Linked DNA regions of Mus musculus. The protein of the gene in region 3 interacts with the protein of the main gene of each other region in a biochemical or structural test. Links are inferred from orthologs where the notes say so. Each region holds a gene or a part of one and is shown on either strand. Other genes may lie near its edges. The genes, in order: Shc1, Lat, Zap70, Lcp2 and Erbb3.

Evidence for each region.
Region 1: of the proteins of Zap70 (region 3) and Shc1, one has a biochemical effect on the other in vitro, tested with the Homo sapiens proteins (2 studies listed by BioGRID, with this or other methods). The link is inferred for Mus musculus from reciprocal best matches to the Homo sapiens genes ZAP70 and SHC1.
Region 2: of the proteins of Zap70 (region 3) and Lat, one has a biochemical effect on the other in vitro, tested with the Homo sapiens proteins (2 studies listed by BioGRID). The link is inferred for Mus musculus from reciprocal best matches to the Homo sapiens genes ZAP70 and LAT.
Region 4: of the proteins of Zap70 (region 3) and Lcp2, one has a biochemical effect on the other in vitro, tested with the Homo sapiens proteins (2 studies listed by BioGRID). The link is inferred for Mus musculus from reciprocal best matches to the Homo sapiens genes ZAP70 and LCP2.
Region 5: the proteins of Zap70 (region 3) and Erbb3 form a complex in vitro, tested with the Homo sapiens proteins (2 studies listed by BioGRID and IntAct, with this or other methods). The link is inferred for Mus musculus from reciprocal best matches to the Homo sapiens genes ZAP70 and ERBB3.

The regions. Positions count from the first base shown.
Region 1 is NC_000069.6:89,420,097-89,424,757, reverse strand, and holds the start of Shc1 (SHC-transforming protein 1), read right to left. Parts: upstream 3,138-4,661; 5' UTR 2,908-3,137; coding exon 2,413-2,907; intron 2,030-2,412; exon of another isoform or gene 1,938-2,029; intron 1,833-1,937; coding exon 1,762-1,832; intron 1,251-1,761; coding exon 1,187-1,250; intron 1,062-1,186; coding exon 942-1,061; intron 569-941; coding exon 515-568; intron 204-514; coding exon 152-203; intron 1-151. UniProt on the Homo sapiens protein: Signaling adapter that couples activated growth factor receptors to signaling pathways. Participates in a signaling cascade initiated by activated KIT and KITLG/SCF.
Region 2 is NC_000073.6:126,366,086-126,370,825, forward strand, and holds the start of Lat (linker for activation of T-cells family member 1 precursor), read right to left. Parts: upstream 3,166-4,740; coding exon 3,063-3,165; intron 2,885-3,062; coding exon 2,857-2,884; intron 2,752-2,856; coding exon 2,717-2,751; intron 2,498-2,716; coding exon 2,410-2,497; intron 2,279-2,409; coding exon 2,214-2,278; intron 2,131-2,213; coding exon 2,101-2,130; intron 2,022-2,100; coding exon 1,961-2,021; exon of another isoform or gene 1,886-1,960; coding exon 1,791-1,885; intron 1-1,790. Other genes in the region: Spns1 (protein spinster homolog 1), read right to left, coding at 4,234-4,328, 4,650-4,740. UniProt on the Homo sapiens protein: Required for TCR (T-cell antigen receptor)- and pre-TCR-mediated signaling, both in mature T-cells and during their development.
Region 3 is NC_000067.6:36,778,634-36,781,454, forward strand, and holds part of Zap70 (tyrosine-protein kinase ZAP-70), read left to right. Parts: intron 1-117; coding exon 118-169; intron 170-350; exon of another isoform or gene 351-483; coding exon 484-679; intron 680-1,051; coding exon 1,052-1,258; intron 1,259-2,203; coding exon 2,204-2,396; intron 2,397-2,485; coding exon 2,486-2,626; intron 2,627-2,712; coding exon 2,713-2,821. UniProt on the Homo sapiens protein: Tyrosine kinase that plays an essential role in regulation of the adaptive immune response. Regulates motility, adhesion and cytokine expression of mature T-cells, as well as thymocyte development.
Region 4 is NC_000077.6:34,077,738-34,081,797, forward strand, and holds part of Lcp2 (lymphocyte cytosolic protein 2), read left to right. Parts: intron 1-506; coding exon 507-532; intron 533-647; coding exon 648-667; intron 668-770; coding exon 771-878; intron 879-2,452; coding exon 2,453-2,483; intron 2,484-3,982; coding exon 3,983-3,995; intron 3,996-4,060. UniProt on the Homo sapiens protein: Adapter protein primarily involved in signaling pathways within T-cells, as well as other immune cells such as platelets, mast cells, and natural killer (NK) cells.
Region 5 is NC_000076.6:128,569,469-128,572,834, reverse strand, and holds part of Erbb3 (receptor tyrosine-protein kinase erbB-3 precursor), read left to right. Parts: coding exon 1-76; intron 77-245; coding exon 246-401; intron 402-630; coding exon 631-706; intron 707-1,043; coding exon 1,044-1,190; intron 1,191-1,291; coding exon 1,292-1,389; intron 1,390-1,476; coding exon 1,477-1,665; intron 1,666-1,827; coding exon 1,828-1,899; intron 1,900-2,480; coding exon 2,481-2,781; intron 2,782-2,940; coding exon 2,941-3,366. UniProt on the Homo sapiens protein: Tyrosine-protein kinase that plays an essential role as cell surface receptor for neuregulins.

The DNA.
Region 1 (4,661 bases), on a different chromosome or scaffold from region 3:
CAGTGGAGACCACCAGTGAGCTCTGAGGCAGGGGGCTGGCATGACCTGTGGGAGGGAGCCCCCACCCAAGTCCCTCCCAGCAAGGGAACCCTATCAAGTGTAACTGCTTTTCAGATAACTGGCCCCACCCAGTGCTGCCCGCAAGCCTCACCTCTCTGATTCACAGGGTCTTTGGCAACATAGGCAACATACTCAGCTGTGTCCTGGAGAGGGTAGATTCAGGAGACCAGTTAGCTAGAGTTTACAACTCCTGATCCACTAAGACTCTGTCCCTTTCAGACATTTCACAACCCTTGCACCCTACTTCTTTAGCCAGTATCTTCTCTCTCCCTCCCTCTTTTGGTTTTTCAAGGATTTCTCTGCATGGCCCTGGCTGTCCTGGAACTCAAGAGAGTCACCTGTCCCGTGAGTGCTGGGATCAGTGTGTGCCACCACACTCAGCCTCTAGCAAGCATCTTTCTAGCCCCATGTCTCTTCTTCCCCACCCCAGTCTTTCCTCTGGTCCCCAACTCACCGGATCCCCACCGGACGCGAAAGAGATAGATTGCATGTGATGGTTGGCAATGATCTGATGAGGGTGGGGATGGAGAAGGAGGGGATGGTAAATGTCAGGCAGCCTCAGGGCTTGTGGCCCACCCCAGTGCAGAACCTTGGAGCCCCAGGCTCATTCTCTTGGTCTTTTACCCAGTGTTCTCCTGATTTCTTTCTTCTTTTGGTGGGGTGAGGTGCAAGGTCTCACTGTGTAGCCCTGACTGGAACTCAAAGGCATTCACCTGCCTCGGCCTCCTGAGTGCTGGGATAAGGGTGTCACTATCCTTAACCTTTCTAATTTCTTCCTCCTCTACTGTCCAGTTGTTCCTGAGAGCTCCGAGCTTTTGGTCTCTGATTCCCATTTGATGCTCCCATAACTATCTCTGGTCCCTTTCAGCAGCCCTACCTACCTGTTTGCAGTCGGCTGCCATGAGGTTAAGGCTGCTGGTAGACACAGTGAGAGTGATTGGCATTCCAGCAAACTTCAGGTTACTCCTCCCCAGGATGGAGCTGAGTGGGCGGCTACAAGGCTAAGAAAGGGCCCAGAGTCTCAGAATCTGAGCTTTCCCAGCCTGAGGAAACACCTGTCCCATCCGCTATGTCCTGAAGTGCCTTCCCCCTGCCTCCAATACCCAGCCCCAACCACCACATATACCTTTCTCCTCCTTGTCGCCCCTTTGGCACCAGGCACAGCTTCACACACCAAACTGATGGCCTCCCTGGAGAAACAGGAGTACTCAGACCCACCATGGGCTGCCCCCCTGGCTGGGGCCGCCACAGAGCTGGGGGAAGGGAAGACCAGGCCAGACTCCCAGAGCACTCCAGGCTCTTTGTCGTGGTGGATTGAATTAAGGGCCTTTAATATTTGATGACACCGAGGGGCCGCTTCCTGGCTGATTGGGTTAGGGCTTCAATGGCTATAGCCCCACCTCTTCCCAGCCACCGAATGTTCCATTCCCTTCCCCAAAGCATCAGCAACCTCCTACCCCTGCCTTTTCTAGCTCATCTTCCCGCAATCTCCAAGGCTGGATAGAAAGGGAAGGTGTGCTCCAGACCAGAGCTGGCTCTTTTTAGTCAGACTTACTTCTGTGACTTTCAATTCTCTCACCGCCCATGAGAAGTCACCATCAGAAACACCATCAAATGCCCAACTTCCTCCTCCCCCTTACTGAGACTTCTGTAACTTCAGTAATCTTAAGACTACAGCAATATACCCGCCTTCCCACTAACCTGGTGACCTGAGTCCGGGTATTGAAGTCAAGGGCTCGCATTGACTGTAAGACCTCCACACAGCCCATGTACTGTAGGGGAAGGAGGGAAGAATGGATCAGCTGACCCCATCCCCCACCCCACACTTGCAAGCCCTTTGCAGAAGGTTCTAGGGCTTTGCCTTATATAGTCCTTACTTCCTAAGGAAAGTAGATTGAAGTAGCCTTCCTACTGCCTGGGGCTTCCACTTCATAGGTGTATGGCAAAGGGGAAAAAGGGAAGAAAGACCACAAAAGAGGAACTTCGTGCACCATGGGGGGACTGCGAGAGGAGTAGCAAACATTGAGTGGGATGGAGTGACATCTCTGGAAAAGGGAGGAGTCTAGAGGGAATAATCAAGAAGTCATTTTCATTCAACTTTTACAGAAAGCCTCAGATGTGCTTGGGCACTGTGTGAACTGGGGGGGTGGGGGGGGGGGTTGGGACCAAAGGAGGAAAGGCAGAAGATTCACAGGCTAAATTAAGGGCAGAGACCTGAAGAAGGAATGCACCAGGTCTAAGAACTGAGAGAATGGCACAGATGTTGCTGGGGGAAGAGCAGGGAGTCCCTGGCAAATCTGGAGTGAGCAGAGGAACTGGACGGGAGGGAGTGGGAGGGGGGTATGCACTCACCCGAACCAAGTAGGAAACCCCAGGTCCCATGACTTTGTCGTTGGGATGCAGCCAGCCTCGTGTGGGCTTATTGACAAAGCTCCCGTGTCTGGTCCACTCCTCGCCCCCCAGCTGGCCCCCTTCTACCCGAGTCCTGCGCCCGCCGCCTCCACTCAGCTTGTTCATGTCCTGGAGGAGGGGCAAGAGGCCTGAGTCCCGAAGGGCTGCCCCTGCACTCCCTTCCCCATCTTCAGCAGCCTTTCCTGGCTCCCCTTTAGGCCCCAGGCGCCCCCCAGCAGGATTGGCCAGCTTCAGGTTGCTCATCCGGGGAAAGAAGGAACACAGGGTAGTCGGACTATCGTCCCCCGGCAGAGGAGGCAGAATGGGTCCCAGGGATGAAGCTGATGGGGAAGGTAGCTCCTCCGGAGGGGTAGACCCCGAAGCCCCCTCCTCCAGCGATGACAGAGACTCATTCCGAAGTGGGTTGTACTTCGGCTTGGGGGGTAGAAGATCCATGGCTGGGGTGAGAAGAGGGGCTGCTGCCCAGCCCGGCCCCCCTGCCAATTCAGGCAAGGGGGCCAGGCAGGGGGCATCCCCAGGCCCTTAGCCTAGTCTGACCTCGGCAGCCCGGTGATAACAGATGACCTGGGGAGGCGAAGGACAAGTGACCTCTGCTCTCCCAACTCAGACCTAGACAGTTTGAGAGCACATCCTTGCACAGCCCAGCTAGGAAACCTCTACTGGCTGAGGAGTACAGGCTGGACCCAGAGCTTACTGGCTCCTCCCCAGAGGCGGGGAACTAAGGAGAGAGACCAATCCCCAGGACAGTGCTGACTCACAGGCTCAGAGGGGCTGAGACACCTCCCCACACAATTTGTGCAAGCCAGGCCACTCTCCCAGCCCAATACAAACAACTGTCTGGGAAGGAGGAGGTGCCCGGCGCGAAAAAAAGATGGAAAAATAAGCAAAAGAGAAAAAAGAAAGGAAGGAGTTAAGAGAAACTCTGGACCAATCCAAACCGACGTGGGCAAGCCAAAGAGAGCAGGAAGACAGGAAGGGATAGAGAGGAAACAGAAGCTGCTGGGCGGGGAGGGGAAGGGGGGAGATGTCCCCCAGAGTTTAGCATTTCCTTTCCAGTCCTGGCTGAAGACGTGACTAGCCCCCTAGCCCAGACAGCCCAGACCACTCCCATCCCCACCATACAGTGAGTGAGGTGGTAGCTCCAGGGAACCTGGGCCATTAGCATCCTCCACCACAACAGCTGTGGACCACAGTAGAGAACCAGGGAGAGAAAGTAAGTCCCAGTGGATATAGTGCAAAGCCAAGAGGAAAGACAAGCTAAAATGGGAATAAAGGCCAATTTATTGGTGGTACATCAGGGGGCTACCAGACAAGAGCTAGAGCAAGCCTGTTTCTACAAGTCACCAAGGACCAACAGACTTGGGGGGTGGGAGTAGGGCTTCCCCAGAGGGTACAGAGACATGCAGCCACCCCTCGGACCTACAGATATATTGTTACTCCTTACAGGCAGTAAACCACCTGACAGTGTACCTCAGGCTAGTGGAGGAGTTGGCCTTGGAGGTAGGGGAAAGAAACAGAACTGGTGCCTACAAGCCACAAAGGGATAATAGGGTCATAAACAAATCTGTGTTAATAAAGACAGGAAGGAGAAAGGGATATTAGAAGTTGGAGTCTGGCCATAAGTGCATAATAATACCAAACCCATATTTCTTTGCCCACAGTTTCCTGCCACAGCTCTGCTTAAGGCCATTCAGGAACTTAAAGAAAGTGACCAATCAAAATAGCTCCAGAATAAACTATCGCTTTATTCCCTTAAAAAAAAAAAAAAAAAAGTAGCTGGGTGTGGTGGTGCACCCTTTTAATCCCAGCAGAGGCAGGTGGATTTCTGAGTTCGAGGCCAGCCTGGTCTACAAAGTGAGTTCCAGGACAGCCAGGGCTATACAGAGAAACCCTGTCTCGAAAACCAAAAAAAAAAAAAAAAAAAAACCAAATACAAGAAATAAAAGATACTTTTTGCTTATTTGTTTTTTCAAGATAGGGTTTGTCTATGTAACAACACTGACTGCCCTGGAACTTGCTTTGTAGACCAGGCTGACCAGGATGGCCTGGAACTTACAGAGAACCAATCACCGGGGTTTGCCTCCACTTGCCTAACCGCTGCTGTGGCTGCGGAGGTTGCTCAAAGTGTCTACCTTCAGACCTCTTCAGCAGCACTTAAAGCAGTTTAAATACCACCCTTCATTCTCTCC
Region 2 (4,740 bases), on a different chromosome or scaffold from region 3:
AGCCTGGTCTACAGAGTGAGGTCTAGGACAGCCAAGGATACATAGAGAAAAGCTGTATTGAGGGAGAAAAACTGAAAAAAAAAAAGCTAAATAAACAAACCACCAACAACAAAAACCAAGTGGAACAAGAGGGATACGTCTTTAACCCCATATAATCCCAGAACTCAGAAGCCAGAGGCAACTGGAGTTAAAGGCCATACTAATCTACAAAGTGAGTTCCAGGGCAGCCAGGACTCTACAGTGAGATTCTCTCTCAAACAAAACAGAGCCAGAGTACAGACATAATAGTCTAGGGTAAATACAGAAGGTTGGGTGTTCCTTTTAAAACTCCAAAATTCATCATATTCCGAAATCCAAAACCTTTTCATACTGGTGCGATACCACAAATGGAAAATTTCATGAAACTTCTATTTCATACAAAAGATTAATTAAAATTTGCATAGAACTACCTTAAAGACCGAGCATGGTAACCTACACGTTTAATTTGAGTTTGAGTCTACCTGGTCTAGATATCAAGTTCCAGGACAGCCAGGACTATACAATGACGCTCTATGCCAATAAAACTAAGACAAAACAAAAACCTATCTTCAGACTGTGTATATATTACATATATGGTTTGTATAAAACATGAATAAATTAATTACATGTTTTATCTTGAGTTTCATCCCCAAGAGAATTTATTATATGTTTATAAATATTCCCAAATCTGTATTGAAGTGTTTCAGGTAAGGGATACTCATGCTATACAGAGATAAGAGGATAGAAAACTGAAGATCACCAGAACTTGAGAAAAGCTCAAGGAAGGAGAAAGACCAAAGCAGAGAAAAGCAGCCCAAGAGAAACAACGACCATGTGGTACGCAGAATAAATCTTCAGTGAGTGTGTGTGAGAGAGACAGGCAGAGATACAGAGAGACGGGCAGAGATACAGAGAGACGGGCAGAGATACAGAGAGACGGGCAGAGATAGATACAGAGAGACGGGCAGAGATACAGAGAGACGGGCAGAGATACAGAGAGACGGGCAGAGATACAGAGAGACGGGCAGAGATACAGAGAGACGGGCAGAGATACAGAGAGACGGGCAGAACCAGAGAGGGATAGAGACACAGAGAGAAACAATCTGTAATCAAAATTTGTTTTGTTTTGTTTTTTCGAGACAGGGTTTCTCTGTGTAGTCCTGGCTGTCCTGGAACTCACTCTGTAGACCAGGCTGGCCTTGAACTCAGAAATCCGCCTGCCTCTGCCTCCCGAGTGCTGGAATTAAAGGCGTGCGCCACCACCACCCGGCTATGTAATCAAAGTTCTTATAGATACATTAGATGATATTGCTTCCAAGAAACAACAGTGTACTATACAAAAAGAACCGAGACGCCAAAAAAGGGGAGGGGGACTTTCAGATAAGAGAAATAAATTCTTTTGTTTTCTTTTTGTTGATCGTCGTGCTGTTTTGGTTTTCGAAGAGAGGGTATCACTATGTAGCCCAGGCTAGCCTCAAATTCAACCCTCCTGCCACTGCCTCCTGATGCTGGGATCGTAGGCCCTCACACCCAGCCGAGAAATGAAATTTCAATGGCAGGGTTCAAAAAGAGTCAGGAAATTTCTTAGACAACAGAGACGAAGGAGCAAAGGTGGAAGGAAAAACAAGACAGTCGGAAGTGATGAGGAGCAGGAAGCCCAACGTCTACAGGAGGAAATGGAAGGGCGGCAATCGTCACGGAGGTGAGAGGGAGGCAAGAGTGGAGAGCTGGCAGCACATGGCAGAGGGAGGTAGACAGAAAGCCTGACTCACCAGAGAAGGCACTGTCTCCAAGGTCAGGGTTGCTAGGCACAGGAGCAGAGGAGACAACAGGGACGGCAGCAGGACTACTGTCAGGCAGCACCACTCTGGAAGAAAGGAAGGAACGAGAAGTTGATAAAGGGCACACAACTTCCACGGTCACCTCCCCTCTACCCACTCACAGGTAGCCGTTGGGATAGTCGTCTTCATCCTCATCTGCATCCACATTCTTACAGGCTGGCTCTGTGAGAAAGGAGAGTTAACACGACCTGGACAGGTCCAGCCTCCCCACCCCACCCACTACCCCAGACCCCAGACCCACCCTGGTTCTCGTAGCTTGCCACACTGTTGGCTTCAAAGAGAGAGGGAGAAGAAGACTGGATCAGCTCAGGTTGTACATCCTCCCCAAAGCCCTCCTGTGCCCTACACCCTTACCATCATCTGAATTCTGCTGGGAAGATGGCATCCGATGGGAACCCCCAAGGGGCTGTGGGGATCTCCTGGAAGCCAAAGGTCAGAGATTACGTCTAGGTAGGACTCTGGGAGCAAGACAACCAGGAAAAAGCGCCTCCCCAACCTAGAAGGTGGAGAGGCACAGTAGACCCAAGGGACGGAGTTGGGGGATACTCACGGGATGGGGAGCAGGTCTGGCTGCCTCAGGGGTGGGAAGGAAGTGACTAGAGGGTAGGAAACAGCAGGTGTTCGGGGGACGGTTATTTCTGAGGACACAGAATGAAGCTTGAGGGATGGCTCCAGACACCCCCCATCAAGGCCTCGAAGGACAAATGGACCCCAAAATAACATGCCCTAGACAGACATGGGGGCTCCCACTTTCCCCATCCCAAGCCAGGGAACAGCCCTTCAGACAGCTAAAGGTGAACAAGGACAAACGCACACTCTTAAAAACCCTCGAGGAGGGCCAGAGACACTGAACTCACGAGGTGGCTTGATGAGGATGCTTCTTGGGTACAAACTGGCAGGAAAGAGACAGCTTGGGTACAGGGCCAAGAGGGCCCCAGCCCCAAACCCTTGAGTGGAACCAAGGGAAGACACACAGGGACACGGGCTTCCCACTCACCTCTCTGTGGAAGTGCTGTCATAGGAGACTGGAGGAAAGAAATCCAACAAGTCAGGATCGGGGTGCACCAGGGACAAAGAAACTCAGGCCCCCCACCATCAATCAGGGCCCAGGTAGGGACAGTGGAGAGTGCAGGGGCTGGGGAGGGTATGAGGATCCAATGGAGCGCCCACCCATCATCCAGTTCCGCAAAGCTTCCCACTTACCTGGCAACTCACGGCAGCGCACGCACAGGGCAGCCAGGAGCGTGACCAAGAAGGGCAGCAGCAGGAGGCCCAGCCCCACCGGGCTCAAGGCGTCTGCTTCCATCTGCAGAGCACCTGCCACAGGCCCTGCTGCACTGCAGCCCCTCGAGACAGAGTGGCAGCAGGGGTATGGGACCAAGCGGGCTCCAGCCTGGGATCCGCCCGGCAGTAGGCAGCCGTATCCTTTCGGGGCTGGATGGCTCCCCTCTCTTGCTGGACTGAGTTGAGAGCAGTGTTGGCTCTGGAAAGGTGCTCGCCCCAGAGCCAGAGCTGGGGCCCGTGCCCCAGCTACCAGCTGCACGATCCCCGTGCCCAGCTGTACCTGCCCCTTTCTTGCTCCCCGCCTGCCTCTCCTGCTCACCACCGCGTGCGACAGGAAGCTGTGGTGAGGGCAGGAAATCATCAGGCTGCTCAGCAGGCTGAGCCTGCCCCCTGCCCACTCACCCCCACCCAGTTGTGGGAAGGGGGAGGAGGCAGAGGGACTGTGTGGAGGAAGGGTCTAAGGCTGCAGGATGAGGCAGCCCGTCCACTAGGAAAGGAGACACGTGCCAACCAGGCCCGCGGTACCCTCCCCATGCCCGGGTGGGAGAACTGCAAGGAGGCTCTGCCAAGGCCTGTGTGGACCGAGGGCACTGAGGGCACCACAGGCCCCCAGCTCCCAGGCTTAACTACTGGGAGAGCGACTTCCAGGGGACCACGGTGAGTCACAGTCATACTGAACCAGCTCACTCAGAAAAGAGCAGCCCTCCTTCTAGATTACCAAGCTCAGAAGACAGGGACTTACCCACAGGGTGACCTGACAGCCCCTGCTAAGTCCTGGGACTATGGATATTCCCTGAGGCCAGTGGCACCCACAGAGAGACAAGCAGTCAGTCAGGAGTCTGATTACAAATTTTATTCCATTACAAATAGCACCAAACCCCTTGGGCTGTCCTAGTAGAGAGGACACCCCTTCCCCGTTTCTGGACTCCCATCTCTTCCCTGGGCTGCCCATGTAGTGTCTGGGAGCTGGGAGATATCCCAGGGCTTCCTTCTTGGACCTGGGCCTGGTGAGGGCTTCTGCCTGGGAACCGTCTTGGGTGGGCCCAAGGCCCAGCTGCGATGCATCAGTGGCCGGGTAAGCACCGGCTCCTCAGATGAGCACGCTGGACACGGGGACTCGGGTAGAACGGCCTCGCTGAGGTACTACAATCCGGTCATCTGAGGGCCCAGACTCATGCAACAGACCTGCGAGAAAGGGGTCAGAGCCAAGGCCAGTAAGATAAGAGCCAGCAAGGGGACACAGGCAGCAAGGGGACACAGGCAGAGGGGCCCAGATGAGGCAGCATGGAGAGCCCTCAGAACTGCACACAGACAGAGCCCAATCCACTTCCAGACAGACCCAAAGCTAAGCTGGATGAGCCTGGGATGCTGGGACTCTTGCCCCCAGCTGGTGGCATGAATGGATGGGCTAGTCTGAGTGGAGGGAGAACTGTAGAGTACATACGCGGAGACAGACAGACAGGCAGGTGGTACTGTGAAGGTGGACCTACAGTGACCCTCACTCACCCTGCACGTGGAGTTGAGCCCGCCGGCGGTCATCTTCAATGAACATGGCGGTGCCCAGGAAGGCCGCACCACCCAGTGCCCCAACGAAAGC
Region 3 (2,821 bases):
ATGGGTGGGATGGAGGAGATGGCCATGCAGGGAGCTGTCCCTGGGGTGTCCTCAGCAGGCGTGGGTCTCATAAGAGGGCTGAGTCTCCCTGACTGCTGTTGACCCTGTGACCTTTAGCCTCAGAGACGAGTGGACACCCTGAACTCGGACGGATACACCCCTGAACCAGGTGAGCCGCAGAGGCAGAGCTGAGCATGCGCTTATGCCCACCCGAAAACAGGGTCCCTGGCTGGCCTGTGGGACTTAGCAAGAGTTGACAAAGCCAGAGCCATTGCCAGGGGTCTGTCCCATGCACAGCAATGCTTAGTCATCACGCCTGCCCATGGGCCTGTATATCCTAGTGTATGCCACGTGAGGGTGGGTACATCATGGCTTATGGCCGTGTGTCTGGTGTGTCTGAGCTTCCCGTGTCCTTTACGTGCCCTTCCCCCTCCCCCATTCCTCTCTAACCCGGGAGTGCATGACACCCGTATGTATACCCAGCACGCTTAGCGTCATCGACAGACAAGCCCCGGCCGATGCCCATGGACACAAGTGTGTACGAGAGTCCCTACAGCGACCCTGAGGAACTCAAAGACAAGAAGCTCTTCCTGAAGCGAGAGAATCTCCTCGTGGCGGACATCGAGCTTGGCTGTGGCAACTTTGGCTCCGTGCGCCAGGGAGTCTATCGCATGCGCAAGTATGGCGGGGCCTTCTGCCACAGCGTGGGTATCAGAGCAGAGGAGTTGTAGGAGCCATGGACCCCTGAGAGGGAGACACTGGCCCCCACTAGGAGGGCTTATGAAGTTATGCAGAGGGGAACCCCTTGTTGACTGGCCATGACAGGCCACGCAGGCACTCCCTGGGAAGGTGTCTCTGACTGAGACAGTTCAGGTATCTCTGGGAACGGATGGCTTGGCAGTGAACCAGAGGGTGCACGGTTGACGGGGGTTGGGGTGGGTGGGGTGGGGGTTGGGAGTGGAGGGTAGGGGGTGGTGGAGCAAGAGAGCCGGGTGTGGCCTGTGTTGGCCCAGTTCCCACCCAAGCTGTCTGTGGCCTCGCACCTGGGCAGGAAGCAGATTGACGTGGCCATCAAGGTGCTGAAGCAGGGCACAGAGAAGGCCGACAAAGATGAGATGATGCGAGAGGCCCAGATCATGCACCAGCTCGACAACCCCTACATCGTGCGGCTCATCGGCGTGTGCCAGGCAGAAGCACTCATGCTGGTCATGGAGATGGCGGGAGGCGGGCCCCTGCACAAGTTCCTGCTGGGAAAGAAGTGAGCCTGGGGGACACTCACGGGGTGGGGGAGTAGGGATGGGGGTGGGGGTGGGGGGAGAAATAGAGGAACACACACAAAGAGAGAGAGAGAGAGAGAGGGAGAGAGAGAGAGAGAGAGGCAGACAGAGAGGCAGACAGACACACGCACAGAGACACAGACAGACGCACACACAGAGACACACAGAGAAAGAGAAACAGAGAGACACACAGATACACAGAGAGACAGATAGGTATACACAGAGGCAGAGAGACAGATAGACAGGCACACAGAGACAGACACAGAGAGACAGACAAGACATACAAAGACATACACACAGAAATAAAGATACAGACAGACAGATAGACACAGACAGAGACAGACACAGAGACACACACACAGAGACAGAGAGAAATGGATAGACATACAGAGACACACAGAGACATAGACACAGAGACAGACACACAGAGAGATAGACACAGACAGACACAGACACACACACACACACAGAGAAATAAAGACACAGACAGACAGACAGACACAGACATACACAGAGACAGAGAGAAATGGACAGACACACAGAGACACACACAGAGAGACAGACAGACAGACACAGAGACACAAACAGACACACACACATACAGAGAGACACACACAGACAGACAGACACAGTGCACACCACCTGCCCTTACTTCTTCCTGGACATGCCTGCCCTATGTGTACTCTGACGCTCACACTCATGCTATAAAGAAGAGCTCCTGACTCTGTTTCCCCACGTGCACTATGGTGGCGATAGCAGGAACTGTGCCCAGGGTTCCTGTAAACATTGAACATGTAATAAAGCTCTTAGCATCTGGCACTGCCAACAAGGATGGTCTACATGCCAGCCACATCACTGATGCCCAGGTTTTCTACACCCATGCCCCATGGGAAGGGAGACTGACTCCACCATCCCCTCCACCCCAGGGAGGAGATCCCTGTGAGCAATGTGGCTGAACTGCTGCACCAGGTGGCCATGGGCATGAAGTATTTGGAGGAGAAAAACTTTGTGCACCGCGACCTGGCAGCCCGCAATGTTCTACTGGTCAATCGGCACTATGCCAAGATCAGCGACTTTGGCCTGTCCAAAGCCCTGGGTGCTGACGACAGCTATTACACAGTGAGTGCCACCCCAGTGGTGCCCAGGTGGAGGTGGCTGGTGGGGGAGGGTTCCCAAGCTCCGGTCCTAGCAGTTCCTCCCCGTCTCAGGCCCGGTCTGCAGGGAAGTGGCCTCTGAAGTGGTACGCGCCAGAGTGCATCAACTTTCGGAAGTTCTCCAGCCGCAGTGACGTCTGGAGCTATGGGGTCACCATGTGGGAGGCCTTCTCCTATGGCCAGAAGCCCTACAAGGTAGGCTGGGCAGTTTGGCAACGGTGGGCTGGGGAGGTGGACCCTGGCTCCTCACACACGAATGCCTTTGTCCCTGGCCTGAGCAGAAAATGAAGGGCCCCGAGGTCCTGGACTTCATCAAGCAGGGTAAGAGGATGGAATGTCCGCCGGAGTGTCCTCCTGAGATGTATGCACTTATGAGTGACTGCTGGATCT
Region 4 (4,060 bases), on a different chromosome or scaffold from region 3:
CAGTACCACAACCACAACCATGACCACTACCACCTTGACTACCACCACAACCACTTCCACCACCACTAAAGTAGTTTTGGCACACCAAGACAATCTCCAAAAGCCCTTGTATGGAAGTCTTTACATAATATCAAGTGTACCACAGGATTTAGGGCAAAATTTCACCTTCATTACACACTGGTTTACTTCAAAATTCAAACTAGGCCAGACAGCAGATGCTTAAGCCAATGAGAAAGACATAGAATCTCAAGAAGATATTCACCCATTTGATGCTCAGCCAAGCCGCATGTTGAAAAGAAGCTCAGATCCCACAATCCTATTAGCATGTGCACAGCTGTGTGAGTTTGGCAAGCCAGGTGTTCCTCAAAAGACCTTTCAGATCTGAAGCCCCTGCTTAAAGTCAGACTTCCCCTAGAGACACAGACACGGTTTTCATCAGAATCTGTTTTTCAGCCCTAACCTCATGCCTGTTCCAAATTTAATGTTCTGTTCAACCTTGTTTACAGGAAAGAAACCACCATTTTCTGATAAGGTAGGCTGCTTTTCTGGTTTGTTTATGATTTTAGTCTTTGTTTGTTTTGCTTTTATCTTGTCCTGACTCTTTGGAAAGTGTCTGATCCTCACGTGTCTTCCTTGTTGTCTTGCAGCCCTCAGCCCCATTGGGGAGGTAAGTGTCTGTCATACTGTACCAAGTCCAGAATTCTGCTGCAGATCTCTGCCCAATGAAAGTGGCTTTTATATATATATATCTCCTCTCTCTTCCCACTCAGGGAACATTTACCCAAGATACAAAAGCCTCCTTTGCCACCAGCCATGGACAGACACGAAAGAAATGAAAGACTCGGACCCGTGACAACGAGGAAGCCACCAGTTCCAAGGTGACTGTCCTGTGCTGCCTGAGTCGGGCCTTTGAACTCCAATACTTGAGAGGTTGAGGGCTCCTTTCCTTGCTGGTTGGATGAAAGCTACTGAGGTCTGTCAAGAGAATGGGAATGTAGCTGAGGAGGGGGCGAGTAGCAGCACTTAATGGGGAGGGCTGTGTGGTTGCTGTCGGAGTCCTTGTCTGAACCAGACTTGGTTTTGTTGGACTTCCTGCCTTGTCAGACTGAAGCCTGAACAGCTCATAGGAACTGCACCTGCAGCTTTATTTTGTAAGGGAGCAGGGGTGTGGGGTGGGGGTGGGGGTGCGCTGGTTCTAGGCCTGCATTAGCTGCTTTCTTACTGCTCAACCATTTTTACAACGACAGGAGACGGAGCTCAGTTCTAGCAGCTTTACCTGTGCTATAAAATCATGTATGGTCTATTTACCAAACGGCACAAGTGCACTTGGGTTCTGGGCCAGCCCTGCTACTTGGAGGGGAGCAGTGAGTTTCATTATCTCCTCTGTCTATAAAGGTTCATAACCATCGCCCTGGTTTGGCTGTTGTGAGGATTCAGTCAAGACTAAGGGCCACAGTGTGCCAAGAAAATCCCCAGTCTTTGACTTTCATAGCATTTTAATGGATTATTTAACAAAATCAGAGCACATAAAAAACAATTTAATGGCCAAAATACCAAAATTTTCAATAAAACAGGGCAAGAACTGATGGACGACATAAGAAACATCTGACATTAGCTACTCAACAAATCATTCTTCCTCCCTCCCTCCCTCCTTCCCTCCCCCTTCTTCTCTCCCTCCCTCTATCCACCCATCCATCCTTGCCTCCCTCCATCCCTCTCCTTTCCTCCCTCCCTTCCTCCCTTCTTCTCTCCCTCCCTCTATCCACCCACCCATCCTTGCCTCCCTCCCTCTCTCCTTTCTTTTTTCCCTATCCCTCCCTATCCCTCCCTCCCTCCCTCCTTCCCTCCCTCCCTCCATCTCTTCCTCCTATCACTCCCCTCCTTCCCTCCTTCTCTCCCTCCCCTCTTTACCTCTCTCCCAGGAAGTACAGATGCCTCTCCCAACGCTTAGACAGCTATTGTCAAAGCTGTTGGACTGGCCCATCTGTGCCAATGACACCAAGGCCCTATTGGCAAAGCCCGGAGCAGGGACCTTTGCCAACTGTTTTCTTAATACTTGAAGGGCAAGCCCTGTGGTGGCTGGTTTGAAACCTCAGCAAAGAAGAATATTACTGAAAATGTTTTTATTTGCTTGGAAAAACATCTACTCAGTGAAATTTAATAGCTCCTAAAAGCTGACTAAACATATATACGTGTATAATTGTGTAATTATTTGCTATAGTAGCGCTATAGAACAAAGGTTTGCCTAGCTCAGCTTGCAAAGATAACAGGGCATCCAGTGGCCACATTTCCCTTCTCTCCCAACCCCAGCATTTCTGCTGGCACTGGCAACTTCCCCTTTGGCCACGGCTCAGTAGGTTTTATTTCTCCTTATGCGATTTACTGAAATTATATTCTGGGGCTGGCTCTTTGAAACTCTTGATGCTCACATCTCTGCTCTAATTCATTTCAGGCATGGAAGGGGACCAGACAGAAGAGAGAATGTAAGTGTGAAATGTCATTTAATAAATGCTTGGCACAGGGACAGCCAGTGTAGGCTCTGGGGAGGTGGGACTGCATCTGCCTTGCCCTTGTCTGAAGTTAGGTAATGAGAGCAAGACCTACAAAGAGTATCTTAAATGCCAGCCTCTGCATCTTGTTACTTAGAGTTCATCAAGCTGAATTGCCTAGCCCCTGGCTCTCTGAGAGGTCCCAGGGTGGCTGGCTTCTTGCAGCCTCATCCCCAAGGGTAATTTGCAAGAAGAGTGAGGATCAGGAATAGAGGGAAGGGTCGGGAAGATGCTATGATTTTAGTGGCCCTGCACGACATCACTCTTTCTCTTTTTGTGTGAGCACTGTAACGGTCCTTGAATGTTGCAGAGAACATGGACTAGGGTTGCTCCACTTTTGTTCCAGTCCCAGGGATGTCTAAGGAAGATGGGAGGGGATGGCTATGAGCATTCCCAAACCATCAGGGCAGCAACTTGCTACAGAGACATAGTGACAGAGTGAAAGACAGACACTGAGGCTGACATCACATCCCTGAGGCACTGAGTCTCTGAGAGATTAATTCTCCTGAGAATCTAGGGTTGTGCCTTCCTCAGCCAGGGGGGACATGGCCTCCATGCAGGAGAGCAGTGACACTTTGTTTATTTGTGTGGCCCTCTGCTGACTTTCAGTATTTCAGGATGAGAGATTGTGATTGGTGTAGAACTGATGGTAGAAAGCTTTATTAAGCAGTACTTAACTAATGCCAGGGCACAGTAACTAACTTTATCCTTATAAAGGTACCAATTCATGACCACTGGGCTGCTCTAACTAACCAGTTCATGGTCCTTTGATTTTTTCTAGTCACTGGCAGGGCTTCTGTGTCTCTTTGAACCTCATTTCTTATTAGAGAAAGGGGGTGGCCTTTCTCTTGTCTGTCTCACAAAGTGACTCTGCAGTTGAAATAGTAAGGAATAAAATAGTAGTTACACCTTGTAAACTTCGCTATGAATAAATGAGGGACAGATATTGCAAAGGAGAGGCAGGAAAAGGGCTGGAGCTTTGGACCAGGCAGGTGTGAGGGTGTGTGAAGCCTTTCCTGTCTCCATGGTAAATGCGCTGAAGCACGAGTATCATTTCTATTGCAAATCGTGTTCCAGTCTTAGATCAACTGAAGAGAATTGACCGAAATATCAGTAACCTCATGAGGCTTGTAAATGCTGTTATATCCAAGTCCTTTAGGAGCCTCAGAATCAGTCCAGCTGAGCATTTGAGAGGAATCTCCGAATCGAATGTCTTTGGATGATTATGGACATTAGAAAAACCATAAACCACTTAGCACATTCTAACTAGATTATGAAGAGGGGAAGCTCTAGAAAATTCTCCACAACCTATTTATTATGAAAAACTATAACTGTTAAAGAAAGAGCCAGGCACAGTATTTGACTGAGAAGTGTCTTCTTAGAAATTGGATTGCAACACTAAGTTAATCTATTTCGATGTTTTTTCTTTGCAGGATGAAGATGATGGTATGTCTCCAGATCTTTATCACAAGCCATTCTCCTTCTTAAAACACCAATTCTCTCACTTTTCT
Region 5 (3,366 bases), on a different chromosome or scaffold from region 3:
CCTTGATCATGTAAGACAGCACCGTGAGACACTGGGACCACAGCTGCTGCTCAACTGGGGAGTACAAATTGCCAAGGTGAGGGGAGTCAGGGGAGGCCTTTGATAGCAACAGCTTAGCTGGGGAAGGTCGGGGTTGAGGAAGGAGGATTAAGGGTTTGAGGTCATGAGTGCTGTCTTCAAGGTGTGGCCAGCTGCTATTGCTCAGTGGCCGACTCCCCCAACCCTGAGACCACCTCCTCCTCTAGGGTATGTATTACCTCGAGGAACACAGCATGGTGCATAGGGACCTTGCGCTCCGGAATGTGATGCTTAAGTCACCGAGTCAAGTCCAGGTGGCAGATTTTGGTGTGGCTGACTTGCTGCCGCCAGATGACAAGCAGTTACTACACAGTGAGGCCAAGGTGAGGTGACAAGGGCCGGAGTGGTTGGGTGGCGTGAGCATGGAATACAGAGCAGTCAAGGGGCTCTAGCTGAGATAAGTAAATGAGTCCTGGAGATTCAAGGAGAGGAAGCTGAGAATGACAGAAAATTTAAGTTCGCGGGATCAGGGGGGAATGGGTGATAGAGAACTTGTAGTTTTAAGAAAATAGGTGAAAATTAATGGGTAGCACCTTCATCTTTAATCTTCAGACTCCAATTAAATGGATGGCCCTTGAGAGTATCCACTTTGGGAAATACACACACCAGAGTGATGTCTGGAGTTACGGTAAGCACCCCTTTGTCATCACCAGCTCAGGTCCCCCTTTTGTGTCTCCTCTTAAGAACTATATGCCAGCCAGGTGTGGTGGCGCACGCCTTTAATCCCAGCACTTGGGAGGCAGAGGCAGGCGGATTTCTGAGTTCGAGGCCAGCCTGGTCTACAAAGTGAGTTCCAGGACAGCCAGGACTACACAGAGAAACCCTGTCTCGGAAAAAAAACAAGAAACAAAACCAAAAAAACTATATGCCCTTGCAATCCTTGTATTAAAGGGAGGCCAACCCTCCCTTCCCTTTGTGCCTGTATCTATTTTTCATAATTATTACTTAATTTCTTCCTGTATCAGGTGTAACCGTTTGGGAGTTGATGACCTTCGGGGCAGAGCCCTACGCAGGGCTACGACTGGCTGAAATACCAGACCTGCTGGAGAAGGGAGAGCGGTTAGCACAGCCCCAGATCTGCACCATTGACGTCTACATGGTCATGGTCAAGTGTGAGTTGTCTTCTGACCCTAGCCTTTTCTAACTGACTCCCTCCTTTCTCTTCCACGGCTCTGTTCTCTCTTCTGGCTCAACCTCCTACATCTCTCCCTAGGTTGGATGATTGACGAGAATATTCGCCCAACCTTTAAAGAACTGGCCAATGAGTTTACCAGGATGGCCCGGGACCCACCAAGGTATCTGGTCATCAAGGTGAGTAAGGGCTAGAGGATGTCAGAGTCATTTAGGGAAAGGACGTAGAGAACTAGAACCCACCTTAATGGATTTCTACTCCTGTAGAGAGCGAGTGGGCCTGGAATACCTCCTGCAGCAGAGCCATCTGCTCTGAGCACCAAAGAGTTGCAGGATGCAGAGCTGGAGCCAGACCTGGACCTCGACCTAGACGTGGAGGTAGAAGAGGAGGGCCTGGCGACCACACTGGGTTCTGCCCTCAGCTTGCCTACAGGAACGCTTACCCGGCCACGTGGGGTAAGATATCTTCTAACCGCACAAGATTCTGCTACGCAGACACCCCCCACACACACACACACCCCACCCCCGTGAGCATGAAGAATCACCACTCATCAGCCTCCACACTAAGAATAGATTTCTTCCTTCATTTTAGCCCTTTCCTTTCCTTTCCCATTCTAGAGCCAGAGTCTTTTAAGTCCTTCGTCTGGATACATGCCCATGAACCAGAGCAACCTTGGGGAGGCTTGTCTGGTAAGATGTGCTGGCGCTTGCTCCAGCCCAAAGGTTTATTATTGTATGTAAGTCTACTGTAGCTGTCTTCAGACACACCAGAAGAGGGCATCAGATCTTATTACAAATGGTTGTGAGCCACCATGTGGTTGCTGGGATTTGAACTCAGCACCTTTGGAAGAGCAGTCAGTGCTCTTAACTGTTGAGCCATCTCTCCAACCCCGCATCTTGCTCCTTATCCTCTCTCTCTCTATTCCCCTCCCTGCTCTTTCTATCCTCTACTACTCCACTCCTCTTCTCCTCTCTTCTCTTCTCTCTCTCTCTCTCTCTCTCTCTCTGCCTTTCTCTGCCTCTACTCCCTCAACTCCCCTCCCCATGCCCTGAATAAACTCCATCCTATACTAAAAAAAAAAAAAAAAAAAAAAGAAAAGGAGAGAAAAGAAAAGAAAAAGGAAAATGGAGATGTTTCAAATTTTTAAGGTTTAGTTAGCATCCTGCCAACAGAGAAGGCCCTCCCCGAGCAACTGTGCCTCCTTCTGAGTCTGTATTTTTATACAGTCCATATAATCCTTGTATTGCTTCCTATGACTTTTCCTCCGTAGGATTCTGCGGTTTTGGGGGGTCGCGAACAGTTCTCCCGTCCCATCTCTCTGCACCCGATCCCACGGGGGCGTCAAACGTCAGAGTCATCAGAGGGCCATGTGACGGGCTCTGAGGCTGAACTCCAAGAGAGAGTATCAATGTGTAGGAGCCGGAGCCGGAGCCGGAGCCCACGGCCACGTGGGGACAGTGCCTACCATTCGCAGCGACACAGCCTGCTTACTCCCGTCACCCCGCTCTCCCCACCAGGGTTAGAGGAAGAGGATGGCAATGGTTATGTCATGCCAGATACGCACCTCAGAGGTACCTGTCACTTCCAGCGTTACCCTCAAATCTTCTAATCTTTTTTTCTCCAAGCTCCCCTTAATTTTTTTTATCTTCTCTGATGACTCGCTCGCTCCCATTCCTTCTGGTTATTTCTATGAAGTTCTATATATACTTAAGAGTTTCTCTCAACCATAGGTACATCCTCTTCCCGGGAAGGCACCCTTTCGTCAGTAGGTCTCAGTTCTGTGCTGGGTACCGAAGAGGAAGATGAAGATGAGGAGTATGAATACATGAACCGGAAGAGGAGGGGTAGCCCGGCTCGGCCCCCCAGACCTGGTTCCCTGGAAGAGCTGGGCTATGAGTACATGGATGTGGGTTCAGACCTCAGTGCTTCTCTGGGCAGTACGCAGAGTTGCCCACTCCATCCCATGGCCATCGTGCCCTCTGCTGGCACGACTCCAGATGAGGACTATGAATACATGAACCGCAGGCGTGGTGCGGGCGGTTCCGGAGGGGATTATGCAGCTATGGGGGCCTGCCCAGCAGCTGAACAAGGGTATGAGGAAATGCGAGCTTTCCAGGGGCCTGGACATCAAGCCCCCCATGTTCGTTATGCCCGCC